3 linked regions of the Macaca fascicularis genome follow. The main gene of each other region encodes a partner of the protein of the gene in region 3 in a complex. Links are inferred from orthologs where the notes say so. Each region holds a gene or a part of one and is shown on either strand. Other genes may lie near its edges.

The links. Proteins that work in one complex are often made in the same cells at the same time.
Region 1: SF3A3 (region 3) and SF3B4 share a complex: the UniProt entries of both Homo sapiens proteins name them as parts of the 17S U2 SnRNP complex. The link is inferred for Macaca fascicularis from reciprocal best matches to the Homo sapiens genes SF3A3 and SF3B4.
Region 2: SF3A3 (region 3) and SF3B3 share a complex: the UniProt entries of both Homo sapiens proteins name them as parts of the 17S U2 SnRNP complex. The link is inferred for Macaca fascicularis from reciprocal best matches to the Homo sapiens genes SF3A3 and SF3B3.

Annotation. Positions count from the first base shown.
Region 1 is NC_088375.1:111,355,638-111,359,616, reverse strand, and holds the end of SF3B4 (splicing factor 3B subunit 4), read right to left. Parts: intron 2,472-3,979; coding exon 2,298-2,471; intron 2,187-2,297; coding exon 1,999-2,186; 3' UTR 1,773-1,998; downstream 1-1,772. UniProt on the Homo sapiens protein: Component of the 17S U2 SnRNP complex of the spliceosome, a large ribonucleoprotein complex that removes introns from transcribed pre-mRNAs.
Region 2 is NC_088394.1:69,773,095-69,778,447, reverse strand, and holds part of SF3B3 (splicing factor 3B subunit 3), read left to right. Parts: intron 1-989; coding exon 990-1,164; intron 1,165-2,208; coding exon 2,209-2,414; intron 2,415-2,511; coding exon 2,512-2,668; intron 2,669-4,519; coding exon 4,520-4,645; intron 4,646-5,353. UniProt on the Homo sapiens protein: Component of the 17S U2 SnRNP complex of the spliceosome, a large ribonucleoprotein complex that removes introns from transcribed pre-mRNAs.
Region 3 is NC_088375.1:196,935,264-196,940,616, forward strand, and holds part of SF3A3 (splicing factor 3A subunit 3), read left to right. Parts: intron 1-1,577; coding exon 1,578-1,716; intron 1,717-2,855; coding exon 2,856-2,924; intron 2,925-3,333; coding exon 3,334-3,401; intron 3,402-3,564; coding exon 3,565-3,672; intron 3,673-5,353. UniProt on the Homo sapiens protein: Component of the 17S U2 SnRNP complex of the spliceosome, a large ribonucleoprotein complex that removes introns from transcribed pre-mRNAs.

The DNA of each region.
Region 1 (3,979 bases), about 86 Mb from region 3:
TTGATATTTTTAGTAGAGACGGAGTTTCATCATGTTGCCCAGGCTGGTCTCGAACTCCTGACCTCAGGTGGTCTGCCCGCCTCAGCCTCCCAAAGTGCTGGGATTACAGGCCACTGCGCCTGGTCATTTTCCTGGACTTTCATGCCAGAATAGGTAACTTTCTTCCTGCTCTCAAAATATTTTGTTTCATTAACAGTCTCTTGTGTGTCAGTTGTGGCAGAACTGCCTTGCTTATCTTTGAATCCTTAGCTGCCACCAACAGAGAGCCTTTGTAGGTACCATAAAAACGTTAATGAGAATGACGGAAGAGAACAAGAGGGCCAGGCTCACTTCTTGCCTAGAATTTAGTAAAGTTCATGGTTACATAAGCCAGAGGGCACGTCAAGAAAGGGGTGACTTAACAGAATCAATGTGGCAAAGAACGTGGGGGAAAAAAAGGCTATTGGATTTGGTCTACTGAAAAGTCTTTAAACTCAGATTAAATGTGAAAATCAAGTTTGGAAGGACTGAGAATGAGAAAAAAATTGAAATACAAACTCCTTATGAGATGACTGTTTACAGACATCTGTAGGAACAGAACAAAATGGAACATTTACTGTCTCCATTTACTCATTTTAACTTTGTTTTGTATTATGTAAGACATCTATATTGTTCCAAATGAAAAACACATTAACACAGTATACTGAGAGAATCCAACTTCCCTCAATATCCCCTCCCTCACCAGTGTTATCAATTTCCATTAGTATTTGGTTTACCCTTTTTTTTTTTTTTGAGTTGGAGTCTCGCTCTGTCGCCCAGGCTGGAATGCAATGGCACGATCTCAGCTCACTGCAGCCTCCAACTCCCAGATTCAAGCGATTCTCCTGCCTCAGCCTCCTGAGTAGCTGGTTTACCCATTTTTAAAAACGTTAAGTAAATAGAAAATATATATGCCACCCTTAGAGAAGGTAGCACACTATACACATTATTTTTCTTCACTTGGAGATCTCTCCACAGCAGTATGTAGAGATCATCCCCATTCCTTTTTACAGCTGCACAGTACTCTGTTGCATGAATTTATCAGTTTATTCAACCCGTCCCTTTACTGATGGAGATGTGAGTTGTTTCCAATCTACTGCCATTATAACGGTGCTGCAATAAATTGCTTAGTGCATGTTACTTCATTTTTGCCAGACATCTCCAGGTACATCTGTTCTCACTTTAAAACAATAATCTGGCTGGGCGAGGTGACTCACATCTGTAATCCCAGCCCTTTGGGAGGCTGAGGCAGAGGGATCGCTTGAACCCAGGAGTTCAAAACCAGTCTGGGCAACATGGCAAAACCTCACCTCTACAAAAAATACAAAAATTAGCTGGGTGTGATGGCATACACCTGTGATCCCAGCTACTTGGGAGGCTTTGGTGGGAGAATCACCTGAGCCTGGGAGGTTGGGGGTGCAGTGAGCTGTGATCATGCCACCGCACTCCAGCCTAGGCAACAGAGCAAGACCATGTCTCCAAAAAAAAAAAGAAAAAAGAAAAAAACACGATGATCCTACACTATAGATATTGGGTCCCCCTATCTTCCAAACTAGAAGATAAGCTCTATGTAAGGAAACAATTACTCTAGTGCACAGCAGAGCTCAGCAACTGCAACAGTACATTACAGAACAAGCCTTTAAAATGTGGAGTGAGCACCCTTGCTCCTACTCCTACCTTACCATTCTTTTCATGATACTCTGACATCTCTTCTTAAAGAAAAAAGTTACTGTTGTCAAGGAAAACACCACAAATAAACAAGCAGTTTAGTTTTATTTTCTCTGTGCATTTGCAAAATACTCAGGACCAACATAAAAAAGAAATACCTCCTGTGGAAAAAATTACATTAAAAAGGGGAATGGGCTGGGGGTGCTAAAAGGGATTAGTACCTTAGCCCCAAGGAGCTACAGCATCTCTGATTGGTCCAAGGAATAGAAAAGATATTGGGAAGATGTAACAGGAGGAAGGAAAAATGTGAATTTACTGAGGGAGAGGGCCTCGAAGTGGACCTCGAGGGGGAACTGGTGGCCGGGGAGTGGGTCTGGGTGGAGGGAGAGGCCCCCGCTGGTAGCCATAGGGTGGGGGTCGTGGAGGGCCAGTGTATCCATGCGGGGGCATCAGTGGAGGAGGTCCACGCATACCATGCGGAGGCATAGGACCTGGGTGACCTGCAAGGAGTAAAAGAAAAGTTAGTAAGGGCACGGGACAAGGGATGTGCCTACAGGAAGCTGTAAGAACATGATAGGTGCAGATGAGGGAGGTGGCTAGAGACGACTTACCCATGGGAGATCCGAATGGAGGCCCTCGGGGGGGCATACCCATTGGAGGAGGTCCAGGATGAGGCATTCCAGGTGGTGGTCGGGGTGGTGGCTGCCCCCCAGAGCCTGGGGGTCCAGCGTGGGGATGTCCTAAGCCATGAGGGCCATGGTGTGCCAGCTGCATCTGAGACATCCCTATGAAAATAAAACAGACACAAGAAGAAAAGAGACAAAGAGAAGGCAAAGAAAATAGAGAAAAGAACAAAATTAGAAAGAAAGTGACATCAGAAAGAGAACTATACAGAAAAAAGGGTACAGAAAATAAGGCTGGCTGGGCACAGTGGCTCATGCCAATAATCCCAGCACTTCGGGAGGCCTAAGTGGATCACTTGAGCCCAGGAGTTCAAGACCAGCCTGGGCAACACAGTGAGAACCCATCTCTATCAAAAAATACTTTTAATTAGCCAGGCATGGTGGTGTGTGCCTGTAGTCCCAGGTACTCAGGAGGCTGAGATGGGAGGATCAAGGCTACAATAAGCCAAAACTACACTACTGCACTCCAGCCTGAGTGAAAGAGTGAGACCCCATCACCAAACAAACAAACAAACAAACAAAAAAAGAAGAGTGGTAAAAAGTGCTCCCTATCCTTGACCCTATTCCAACAGCACAAACCAACCAATTACTCAATCAACTCCTTACGCTCGCTTCTCCCATGATTTAGGTACTGTAATAGTAATGCTGAAGTATATAACAAGTGGAGTAATGACTCTGTTGATAGGATTTGAGAAAGTAGCAGAGAACATACTGTCTAAGCCAAGATCTAATTCTAAAGGATGAATGCTTCAGGAGGGTAAGATCATGGGAAGAAAGCATCCCAAGCAGAAAGATTACAGGTGTGTCAAACAGCACAATATATTCCAGGAAATGCCAGTTAACTCAGTAATCAGGAGCAAAATGCAGTTACAGAAATGAGGGGCAGGGGCCAGCTCATAAAGAGCTGTGAATGCTATGGTAATGAGTTTGAGTTTTACTCTGTAGGTAAAAGGGAGCAACAGAGTCATTTTGAGCAAGTGTGTGCACATCTGTGTTTTAAAAAACCTACTCTGTGAAAGTAGATCGAAGTTAGGGAAAACTGGAGTCCAAGTGGAAGGAGATTACTACAATAAATTAAGTGTTAAATAATGAGGGAATGAGAGACTGAACTAGGGCACTGGCCATGGGGAGAGATGCCACTGATATTAAATAAGACTTGGTATTAAGAGTGGGGTGATAGGGAGCAGTCAAACATCACTCTCAGATTCATGAATTAAGCACCTGAAAAAAAAGACTGCTAGAGAAAGAATGGGTTTGAAGGAGAGGGACAGAAAAATGACGCTATCTATTAAGCAGCAGCATTAAAGCATTAAGGATCCGGAATGTCAACAGCTATGGACTAGAGATACAGATCTAGGAGGCATCAGTATATGCCCAATTAAAACTATAGATATATGCAGAAAAGAGAAACAAGCACAAAAATCTAGGCACAAGTAGACAAGAGTCTATCATGGTAGCTGAGATTAAGGAGTCAGAGGGGTGGAGGATCTAGAAAAGCAAAAGCAAAAAGAGACGAGAATTTCAAACAGGAGGACACGACTAGTTTCAAGTACATCAGAGGTCAAACTAGATAAGGAGCAGACGTGTCCCTGAGATTTGGCAATTAGGTC
Region 2 (5,353 bases), on a different chromosome or scaffold from region 3:
AGTGGTGTGATCATGGCTCCCTGCAGCCCCAACTTCCTGGACTCAAGCTATTTCTGCCTCAACCTCCCAAGTACCTGGTGGGACTATAAGCGCATGCCATCATGCCCGGCTAATTTTTGTGGTTTTTTAAATAGAGACAGGATTTTACCTTGGTGCCCAGGCTGGTCTTGAGCTCCTGAACTCAAGAGATTCTCCCACCTCAGCCCCCCAAGTAGCTGGAACTACAGGTGCGTGCCACCATACTCAGCTTTTTTTTGGGTATTTTCAATAGAGTTGGTGTTTCCCCATGTTGCCCAGGCTGGTCTTGAACTCCTAGCCTTAGGTGATCTGCCCGCTTCGGCCTCCCAAAGTGCTGAGATTACAGTCGTGAGCCACTGTGCCCAGCTCGTATCTTTTTTAATGTAGAGAATAAACTACAAATAAAACTCCATCATTAGAGATCAGGTAACTATATTTTTTAGGGTACCTGGGTTCTGCCCGTTTTGCACATAGTTTGGCTTATGTGTGCATCTCTGTTCAATTTGACAGAAATTTGTAGGTCCCCTATTTGCTGTCTCTTGCATTGTCAAAGTTTTCCAAAACTGAGGTGATTTTTATTCACAAAGGCATCCACTTTATTTTATGAAGCACAGTCACTACAGATACCATATATGTTCAGGTAATTGCAGTGTTCACAACAAATTTGGGATTGGGCGCTTTATTATCATTAGAGTGATTAAAAAAAAATCTTGACAATCGTTTGTGTTTCATTGGTGAGAACTAGAATTGCCATGAATTGTGGTAGGGTGTTGCCAAATGGGAAGGCCCTTCCCGGATCTCTCTGTCTGCAGTGCAGTTTTCTAGATTAGGAGGCTGTTGTTTAATGTTGCCTAATGCCAGCGTTAGAGCTTCAGGGATTGATGTGTTTACTGACTGCTCAAAGCCTATTTCACCACCAATTTCTAGGTCCTGAGTGAGTATTAAGTAACTGCCTTGCTTTTCTGTCATAGCATTTTGGCATTAGAGAAGCTCGGTGCTGTCTTCAATCAAGTAGCCTTCCCACTGCAGTACACACCCAGGAAATTTGTCATCCACCCTGAGAGTAACAACCTTATTATCATTGAAACGGACCACAATGCCTACACTGAGGCCACAAAAGCTCAGAGAAAGCAGCAGATGGCAGAGGTAATGAGACTAACGTTCAGGGGTTCTGTTAAAAGATTTGTGAAATTATGTTGAAAAGTTTAAACTGCTCAGCACTTTTGGAGGCTGAGATGGGAGGATTGCTAGTTTGAGACCGGCCTGGGCAACATAGCAAAACCGCACCTCTATTAAAAATTTTGAAAGATAGCCTGGTGTGTTGGTGCACTCCTGGTATGTTGGCACACTCCACTGCATACCAGTGGCACTCTGGACATGAGACTCTGTCAAAAGTTTAAACTCCTGTAATTGTTGTTATATTCTTTGTTTTTAAAGATCTAGGCTCTTTTCAGCTTCTTTAAGCAGAGGCCTTTGCCCCAAAATACTTCATGTTAGAGCCTTTCTTGTAACCCAGGACTATACTCTGACCTCCATTTATTCACAATTAAGTTCCCTCTCTGAAACAGAATTCTCCAGTCTTTGAGCTTCCAAAATAGACTGTATTTCCTGGATTTGGGCCCAAAGGAGACAGCTTTCATGTTCTCCACAATACCAGCTCTTTCTAGAACTCATTGCCTAGCAAAAACCAAATAGCTAAACCACATAGAACTGTATCCAGCCTTAAAGAGTGGAGACAGAGTAGTCTTAGTAGGGGAAATCAGATGGGTTGGATTAAAAAATGGAGTTTCTGGCCGGGCGCGGTGGCTCAAGCCTGTAATCCCAGCACTTTGGGAGGCCGAGATGGGCGGATCACGAGGTCAAGAGATCGAGACCATCCTGGCTAACACGGGTGAAAACCCATCTCTACTAAAAAATACAAAAAAAAACCTATCTGGGTGAGGTGGCGGGCACCTGTAGTCCCAGCTACACGGGAGGCTGAGGCAGGAGAATGGCGTGAACCCGGGAGGCGGAGCTTGCAGTGAGCTGAGATCCGGCCACTGCACTCCAGCCTGGGCAACAGAGCGAGACTCCTTCTCAAAAAAAAAAAAAAAGAAAAAACCCCTTGGAGTGTTCTTGCTACCTATCCTCTTCTCAGCCAGCCCCTACCTCTGAACATGCCAACTCAGTTGTTTGGTTTTTTGGGTTTAGGAAATGGTGGAAGCAGCAGGGGAGGATGAGCGGGAGCTGGCCGCAGAGATGGCAGCAGCATTCCTCAATGAAAACCTCCCTGAATCTATCTTTGGAGCTCCCAAGGCTGGCAATGGGCAGTGGGCCTCTGTGATCCGAGTGATGAATCCCATTCAGGGGAACACACTGGACCTTGTCCAGCTGGAACAGAATGAGGCAGCTTTTAGGTAAGGAGCCCAGGACAGTTCAGGGTTTGGTAGCCTGGAACAGGAGCTCTCTGGGTTTTGACGAAGGCCTTACTCTTGCCTCTTACTCTGTGTGTAGTGTGGCTGTGTGCAGGTTCTCCAACACTGGTGAAGACTGGTATGTGCTGGTGGGTGTGGCCAAGGACCTGATACTGAACCCCCGATCTGTGGCAGGGGGCTTCGTCTATACTTACAAGCTTGTGAACAATGGGGAAAAACTGGAGTTTTTGCACAAGGTAGGAATCAGCCAGTGAGTGGTTCTCCTAGATCTTAAGTCCTATTGAATTCTCTTACTTTTGCTTATGTTATGGGTCAGGTCTTTTGGGGACCAGCTCCTTGATTCCAATCCATCTCTTACCAGCACATGGAAAATCCTGGGGCCTTCTAGCTGCGGTGATGCTCTTGTGCCTGTGCATTCCACAGTAAGGCTTTGTGCTAACCACCCATAATGGGGAGATGGATGCACATTGAATCAGTCCCTTTCTTACTGTTTTAATAAGTGGGCAACAATTTGTGACCAAAATTCAGCAGTTTAAATAATTAATATTCTGGCTGTGTGCGGTGGCTCACACCTGTAATCCCAGCACTTTGGGACCCGCCCGACCAACATGATGAAAGCCCGTCTCTACTAAAAATATAAAAATCAGCCAGGCATGGTGGCATGTACCTGTTATCCCATCTACTTGGGAGGCTGAGGCAGGAGAATCACTTGAACCCGGGAGGCGGAGGTTGCAGTGAGCTGAGATTGTACCATTGCACTCTAGCCTGGTTGGCACAGTGAGACTGTCAAAAAAAAAAAAAAAAAAGATTTAGTGTTCTTTTCCATCTGCCTTCTCTGGGAAGTTACTGTTTAATGGGTACAGAGTTTCAGTTTGGGAAGATGAAAAAAAAGCTGGAGATGATAGTTACACAACAGTAAATGTGCTTAATGCCACTGAAGTGTATACTTAAAAATGACTGGGCATGGTGACTCATTCCTGTAATCCCAGCACTTTGGAAGGCCGAGGTGGGCGGATCACCTGAGGTCAGGGGTTCAAGACCAGTCTGGTCAATGTGGTGAAATCCCATCTCTATTAAAAATAAAAAATCAGCCAGGCATGGTGGTGGGCGCCTGTAACCCCAGCTACTCCAGAGGTTAAGGCAGGAGAATTGCTTGAACCTGGGAGGCAGAGGTTGTACTGTGCTGAGATTGCGCCACTGCACTCCAGCCTGGGCGACAGAGTGAGACTCTGTCTCAAAAAAAAAAGGATTAAGATGGTAAACTTTATGTTATGTCTGTTTTACCATAATTATTAAAATAAAAATAATATTCTCCTCCACACTGACAGCATGTGGATTCCTTCAACCCTACCATAAGGGGAGTATCCTCTAAGAAATACTTCATAGACCCTTTTGCGTATAAAATTTGTCTCTCCTTTACAACTGAGATGTCACTAGGCTGGGTGCAGTGGCTCACGCTTGTAATCCCAGCATTTTGGGAGTCTGAGTCGAGCAGATCACTTGAGCCCAAGAGTTTGAGACCAGCCTGGACAATGTGGTGAAACTCAGTTTCTACAGAAAATACAGATAATTAGTTGGGCGTGATGGCACATGCCTGTAGTCCCAGCTACTCGGGAGGCTGAGGTGGGAGGATCACCTGAGCCCAGGAAGTCCAGGCTATAGTGAGCCGTGATTACGCCTGCCACAGCCCTCCAGCTTGAGCGACAGTGAGATCCTGTCTCCAAAAAAAAAAAAAAAATGTCATTTTCCACTAGCATTTCTTTCCTGTCCCTCCACAAATTACAGTCACTTCTTAGCTACTAAGGCTTCACTATTATTTCATGAGGCCAGTTAAACCAAGCACAGGCTCTGGGCAGCTGTCATCAGGTACCAGAACTTCTTGTCACTTGTAGCATTGATCCCTCTGCTGGGTGAATGCAGCATGTGGGACCTGTTCACCCCAACACGCTGATTCATTAGCAAAATAAGATCACTGGTGTGTTTCTTAATGATAGGCTCCTGTGAAAGAAGACATTTCTAGGCGGAGAGGTGGGGCCTGTGTCTGGCTGGCATTTGTAATAGCTGTATTACGTGCTTTTCCTCTATAGACTCCGGTGGAAGAGGTCCCTGCTGCCATTGCCCCATTCCAAGGGAGGGTGTTGATTGGTGTGGGGAAGCTGTTGCGTGTCTATGACCTGGGAAAGAAGAAGTTACTCCGAAAATGCGAGAATAAGGTAAGTGTGCTGGCGTTGGTGCTGAGATCTAGCTCACATGTCAAGGGCGGGGGCATTGGTGGGGTGGTGGGCATTGAGTTTTAAAATCTTACCTTTATTAGGACTAGTGTTACCCCAATTCCAGCTTCAGAATTATGCCCCTTTTTTTTTTTTTCCGAGATGGAGTCTCGCCCTGTTGCCCAGGCTGGAGTGCAGTGGTGCAATCTCGGCTCACTGCAACCTCCACCTCCCGGGTTCAAGTGATTCTCCTGCCTCAGCTTCCCACGTAGCTGGGATTATAGATGCACGCTGCCACGCCTGGCTAATTTTTTGTATCTTTAGTAGAGACAGGGTTTTACCATGTTGGCCAGGCTGGTCTCTTAACTCCTGACCTCATGATCCGCCCGCCTTGGCCTCCCAAAGTCCTGGGTTTACAGGCGTGAGCCACCGCACCAGCCCTTGAGTTTTGAGAGGAGCAGGAGTAGAGGATTCTCATTTCTTGACTTACCAAACAAGAACCAGCTTTCTATTTTGCTAGCTTCTGTAAGGAATGTAACTCTGAGAGTTAGGCATATATTTGCACTATATTAAAAGCTATTTGGCTCTTTTTCCCACCTAGAATTCATTGCTAACTGCTGTTTTTGGATATTTGCTGTTCTGCTGACCCTATATATGTCATATGGAAAGCTGGACTTTCTTTGGGTTCTGAACCCCAAGATTACACCCACT
Region 3 (5,353 bases):
AGCTTCTAGGTCTCTCCTGGATTTGATTAGAAGATAATGTGAAGTTTTTGAGGGTGAAGTTCTGAATTTGTTGCCTGGAATGCATACATGAAGGCGTACTTCCAGGTTCATTGGAGGATGGGGTTATGAATGATGTGGTTTTAAAACCTTTGCGATGCTCTGGATGTGAACAAAAGTGTGTCTGTGGGCACATCTTCCATTATATGCCCATACTGTTCTTAATTTTGTCTCATTGTATAAGGAACTCTCCCACTCTGGGACTTCTGTGTTTTCGGAGTTTTATGGGAAAAAAATTAGACTTTCTCAGATTGTGACTGAAGTGAGATGCTTAGGTGTGATGTATAAGTGAAAAATTTATGTTTTTGTTAATTACTCCCCTGATTAGTGATTTTTTAATTTCCCCTCTTTTTCTCATTTTCTTTTTAATGAAATCTTGTATTTTGAGAGGTAATTAAGACCTTAGTATTTAGCATCATTTTATGAGAATAAAAGGAGGTGGGAAAGGTCAGAATCAAAATGACATGTTGGGAAAAATGTCCATTCTAAGTTCATTTAAAAATGAATATTGGCTGGGCACGGTGGCTCACACCTGTAATCCCAGCACTTTGGGAGGCCAAGACAGGCAGATCACCTGAGGTCAGGAGTTCGCGACCAGCCTGACCAATGTGGAGAAACACTGTCTCTATTAAAAATACAAAATTAGGCCGGGCGTGGTGGTTCACGCCTGTAATCCCAACACTTTGGGAGGCTGAGGTGGGCAGATCACAAAGTCAGGAGATCGAGACCGTCCCTGGCTAACACGGTGAAACCCCATCCCTACTAAAAATGCAAAAAATTAGCCAGGCGTGGTGGCAGGCACCTGTGGTCCCAGCTACTTGGGAGGCTGAGGCAGGAGAATGGCGTGAACCCGGGAGGTGGAGCTTGCAGTGAGCTGAGATCGCGCCACTGCACTCCAGCTTGGGCGACTGAGGGACTCCGTCTCAAAAAAAAAAAAAAATGCAAAATTAGCGGGGCACGGTGGCTCACACCTGTAATCCCAGCACTTTGGGAGGCTGAGGCGGGCGGATCACGAGATCAGGAGATCGAGACCATCTGGCTAACACGGTGAAACCCCATCTCTACTAAAAATACAAAAAAATTAGCCGGGCGTGGTGGCGGGCGCCTGTAGTCCTAGCTACTTGGAAGACTGAGGCAGGAGAATGGCGTGCACCTGGGAGGCGGAGCTTGCAGTGAGCCGAGATTGTGCCACTGCATTCCAGCCTGGGCAACAGAGCGAGACTCCGTCTCAAAAAAAAAAAAAAAAAAAATTAGCCGGGCGTGGTGGCGCATGCCTGTAATCCCAGCTACTCGGGAGGCTGAGGCAGGAAAATCACTTGAACCCGGGAGGTTGTGGTGAGCTGAGATTGTGCCGTTGCACTCCAGCCTGGGCAAGAAGAACGAAAGTCCGTTTCACAAAAAAAAAGCATTAAAAAGATAGCATTACTAGAATTATAAGTACTATATATTCTACAGGGAATAACAAGATAGCAAAAATAGAAACCCTTTTTGCTTTCTCTGCATTGTATGTTCCTCTGTAGATACCTAGAGATGCTGCTCGAGTACCTTCAGGACTACACAGATAGAGTGAAGCCTCTCCAAGATCAGAATGAACTTTTTGGGAAGATTCAGGCTGAGTTTGAGAAGAAATGGGAGAATGGAACCTTTCCTGGATGGCCGGTGAGCTTCAGTGGGGTGTGAATGATGGACATGCCAAGGAATTGAAGTAATTATTTTCCTTTATCTTGAGCTTCCACTTTAGGGCATTAGGTATCAATTCCTTGGTATCACTTGTGACAATGAGGTATTCCCTGCCAAGTATGCTATGTTTTTTTGTTTGTTTGTTTTTCTTTTTCTTTTTTTTGGAGATGGAGTTTCGCTCTTGTTGCCCAGGCTGGAGTACAATGGCAGGATCTCGGCTCACCTCAACCTCCACCTCCTGCGTCAAGCAATTCTCCTGCCTCAGCCTCTCGAGTAGCTGGTATTACAGGCACCCGCTACCACACCCAGCTAATTTTGTGTTTTTAGTGGAGACGGGGTTTCTCCATGTTTGTCAGACTGGTCTCAAACTCCTGAGCTCAGGTGATCTGCCCACTTCAGCCTCCCAAAGTGCTGGGATTACAGGCATGAGCCACCGCACCCGGCCGTATGTGAGGTTTTTTTGTGTGTACTTTGGAGCAAGACTGTCAGGGTCCACTTGCCTTTGACTGTGCCCAGATTTTCACCAATCACATCATTACTGTTACGTGGTTCCTGCCAACCAAGAGCCTATCAGATCATATGTTAGGAATCTACATTCTCACTTCTGGGGATAAACATGGGTTTTTCCTGAACTCTCCAGGGAGAGAATGTGGACCAACCTTACCTTCATCCTAAACCTGGTGGTTTGTTTGTTTGTTTTGTTTTGCTTTGTTTTGTTTTTTGGGAGACAAAGTCTCCATCTGGCTTCTAGTCTGGAGTGTAGTGGCATGATCATACCTCACTGCTGCAGCCTCAACTTCCTGGGCTTAAGAGATCTTCCTGCCTTGGACTCCTGAGTAGCTGGGACCACAGGCACATGCCACCATGCCCAGCTAATTCATGTGTTTTTTTTGTAGAGATGGGATTTCACCATGTTGCTCTGACTGGTCTCTAACTCTTGAACTCAAGCAATTCACCCATCTAGACCTCCCAAAGTGCTGAGATTACAGGTGTGAGCCACCACGCCTGGCCTAAACCTGGATCTTAATAAATACCATATTGTTCTTTCCAGAAAGAGACAAGCAGTGCACGCCTGGCCTAAACCTGGATCTTAATAAATACCATATTGTTCTTTCCAGAAAGAGACAAGCAGTGCTCTGACCCATGCTGGAGCCCATCTTGACCTCTCTGCATTCTCCTCCTGGGAGGTATGTTTCCTTCAGCAGTAGTACTGTTCTTCCTGTCTATTTTTCTATCTTTAAAGACTGCTCTGCTGTCTTTAATACCATGGTTGTGTTGTGATAAGGCACTATTTCTTGGGATCAAGCATCTACAAAGAAAGTAGCAAAGTAAAAAGAAAAAAATTACTACATGGGAAACTGAAATAATCATTCTAACTACATTAAGCTGTAGTAAAGTAAATGGAACACTACCAGTATGGTTAAGTCTGAAGATAATTACAGATTCAGTCCTCTGGAGAGTTTAGACTTACTGTCAGATTGGCTATGAAATGTGTGGTCCTGCCACAGCCTCAGGAACACCCACCCTCTGGCCTGCATTTGGGGTTTCCCAAAAATCTGTTAATGTAATATTGTAATTTTTCTCTTCTTTGTACAGGAGTTGGCCTCTCTGGGTTTGGACAGATTGAAATCTGCTCTCTTAGCTTTAGGCTTGAAATGTGGCGGGTAAGGAATGGTTTTTCTATCAAAACTATTCAATTTGCTGTGTGTTTGCACAGTCTTCTAAGTAGCTCTAATTCCATTTTTTTTCTGTTGCTCCACACTGCAAAAACAAGCGAGCCTCTGTGGTAAAGTAACCCTGAAATCCTTTGCCATCCTGTCTCCTTAGGACCCTAGAAGAGCGAGCCCAGAGACTCTTCAGCACCAAAGGAAAGTCCCTGGAGTCACTTGATACCTCTTTGTTTGCCAAAAATCCCAAGTCAAAGGGCACCAAGCGGTGAGTGGCTGGGGTAGCACTGCTGCTTGTGGCTTTTAAATGTTATTCCCATGCCGAATTTTTAACCACAGTGGAGACTTTAAAGCCTGCTTTATCCCCGTTATTGGTCGACAGAGATCCAGTCTGCTCTTTCTCTTTGCTAATAGAGAATACTATCACTGTTAATATAAACAAAGGACTGTCTGTATTCATCTGATTGAGAGCACATCAAGTTTCTAAGTTTGAAACCGTGTTCTTGGCACCTTTAATAGGTTATAGAGGCTAAAAGGCTAAATAGGTTCAAGAACTATTTTTCTAAGCTTATTTTTGGTAAAGTTGAATCTAATTCTTGAGCTACATACTTAGACAAGGTATTTTCTTTTTTTTTTTTTTTTTTTTTTGAGACAGAGTCTCACTCTGTCGCCCAGGCTGGAGTGCAGTGGCCGGATCTCAGCTCACTGCAAGCTCCGCCTCCCGGGTTTACGCCATTCTCGTGCCTCAGCCTCCCGAGTAGCTGGGACTACAGGCGCCCGCCACCTCGCCCGGCTAGTTTTTTGTATTTTTTAGTAGAGATGGGGTTTCACCGTGTTCGCCAGGATGGTCTCGATCTCCTGACCTCGTGATCCACCCGTCTCGGCCTCCCAAAGTGCTGGGATTACAGGCTTGAGCCACCGCGCCCGGCCTAGACAAGGTATTTTCTTTTTTTTTTTTTTTTTTTTTGAGACAGAGTCTCACTCTGTCACCCAAACTGGAGTGCAGTGGTGCAATCTCAGCTTACTGGCTGGAACCTCCACCTCCTGGGTTCAAAGGATTTTCCTGCCTCAGCCTCCTGAGTAGCTGGGACTACAGGTACACACCACCACATATGGCTGATTTTTTGTATTGTTAGTAGAGATGGGGGTTCATCATGTTGGCCAGGCTGGTCTGCAGCTCCTGAGCTTAAGTGATCCACCCGCCTTGGCCTCCCAAAGTGCTGGGATTATAGGTGTGAGCCACTGCGCCTGACCCAGGGTGGTTTTTTTTTTTTCTTTTTGAGATGGAGTCTCGCTCTGTTGCCCAGGCTGGAGTGCAGTGGCACAATCTCGGCTCACTGCAACCTCTGCCTTCTGGGTTCAAGCGATTCTCTTGCCTCAGCCTCCCGAGTAGCTGGGATTACAGATACGCAACACCACACTGGCTAATTTTTGTGTGTTTTTTGTTTTTTTGTTTGAGACAGAGTCTTGCTTTGTCGCCCAGGTTGGAGTGCAGTGGCGCAATCTCAGCTCGCTGCAACCTCCACCTCCCTGGTTCAAGCGATTCTCTTGCCTCACTCTTCCAAGTAGGTGGGATTACCAACATGCGCCACCATGCCTGGCTAGTTTTTGTATTTTTAGTAGAGACGGGGTTTCACCATGTTGGCCAGGCTGGTCATGAACTCCTGACCTCACGTGATCCAACCGCCTCAGCCTCCCAAAGTGGTGGGATTACAGGCGTGAGCTACCGCGCCTAGCTAATTTTTGTATTTTTAGTAGAGAGGGTTTCACCGTGTTGGTGAGGCTAGTCACAAACTCCCAACGTCAAGTGATCGCCAGCCTCATCCTCCCAAAATGCTGGGATTACAGGCATGAGCCACCGTGTCTGGCCCAGTATTTTCTTAATGTACTTTTTTTTCTAATTCTCACAACAACCCAGAAAATTAGTTGTTATCCTGAGTTTTTGCAGA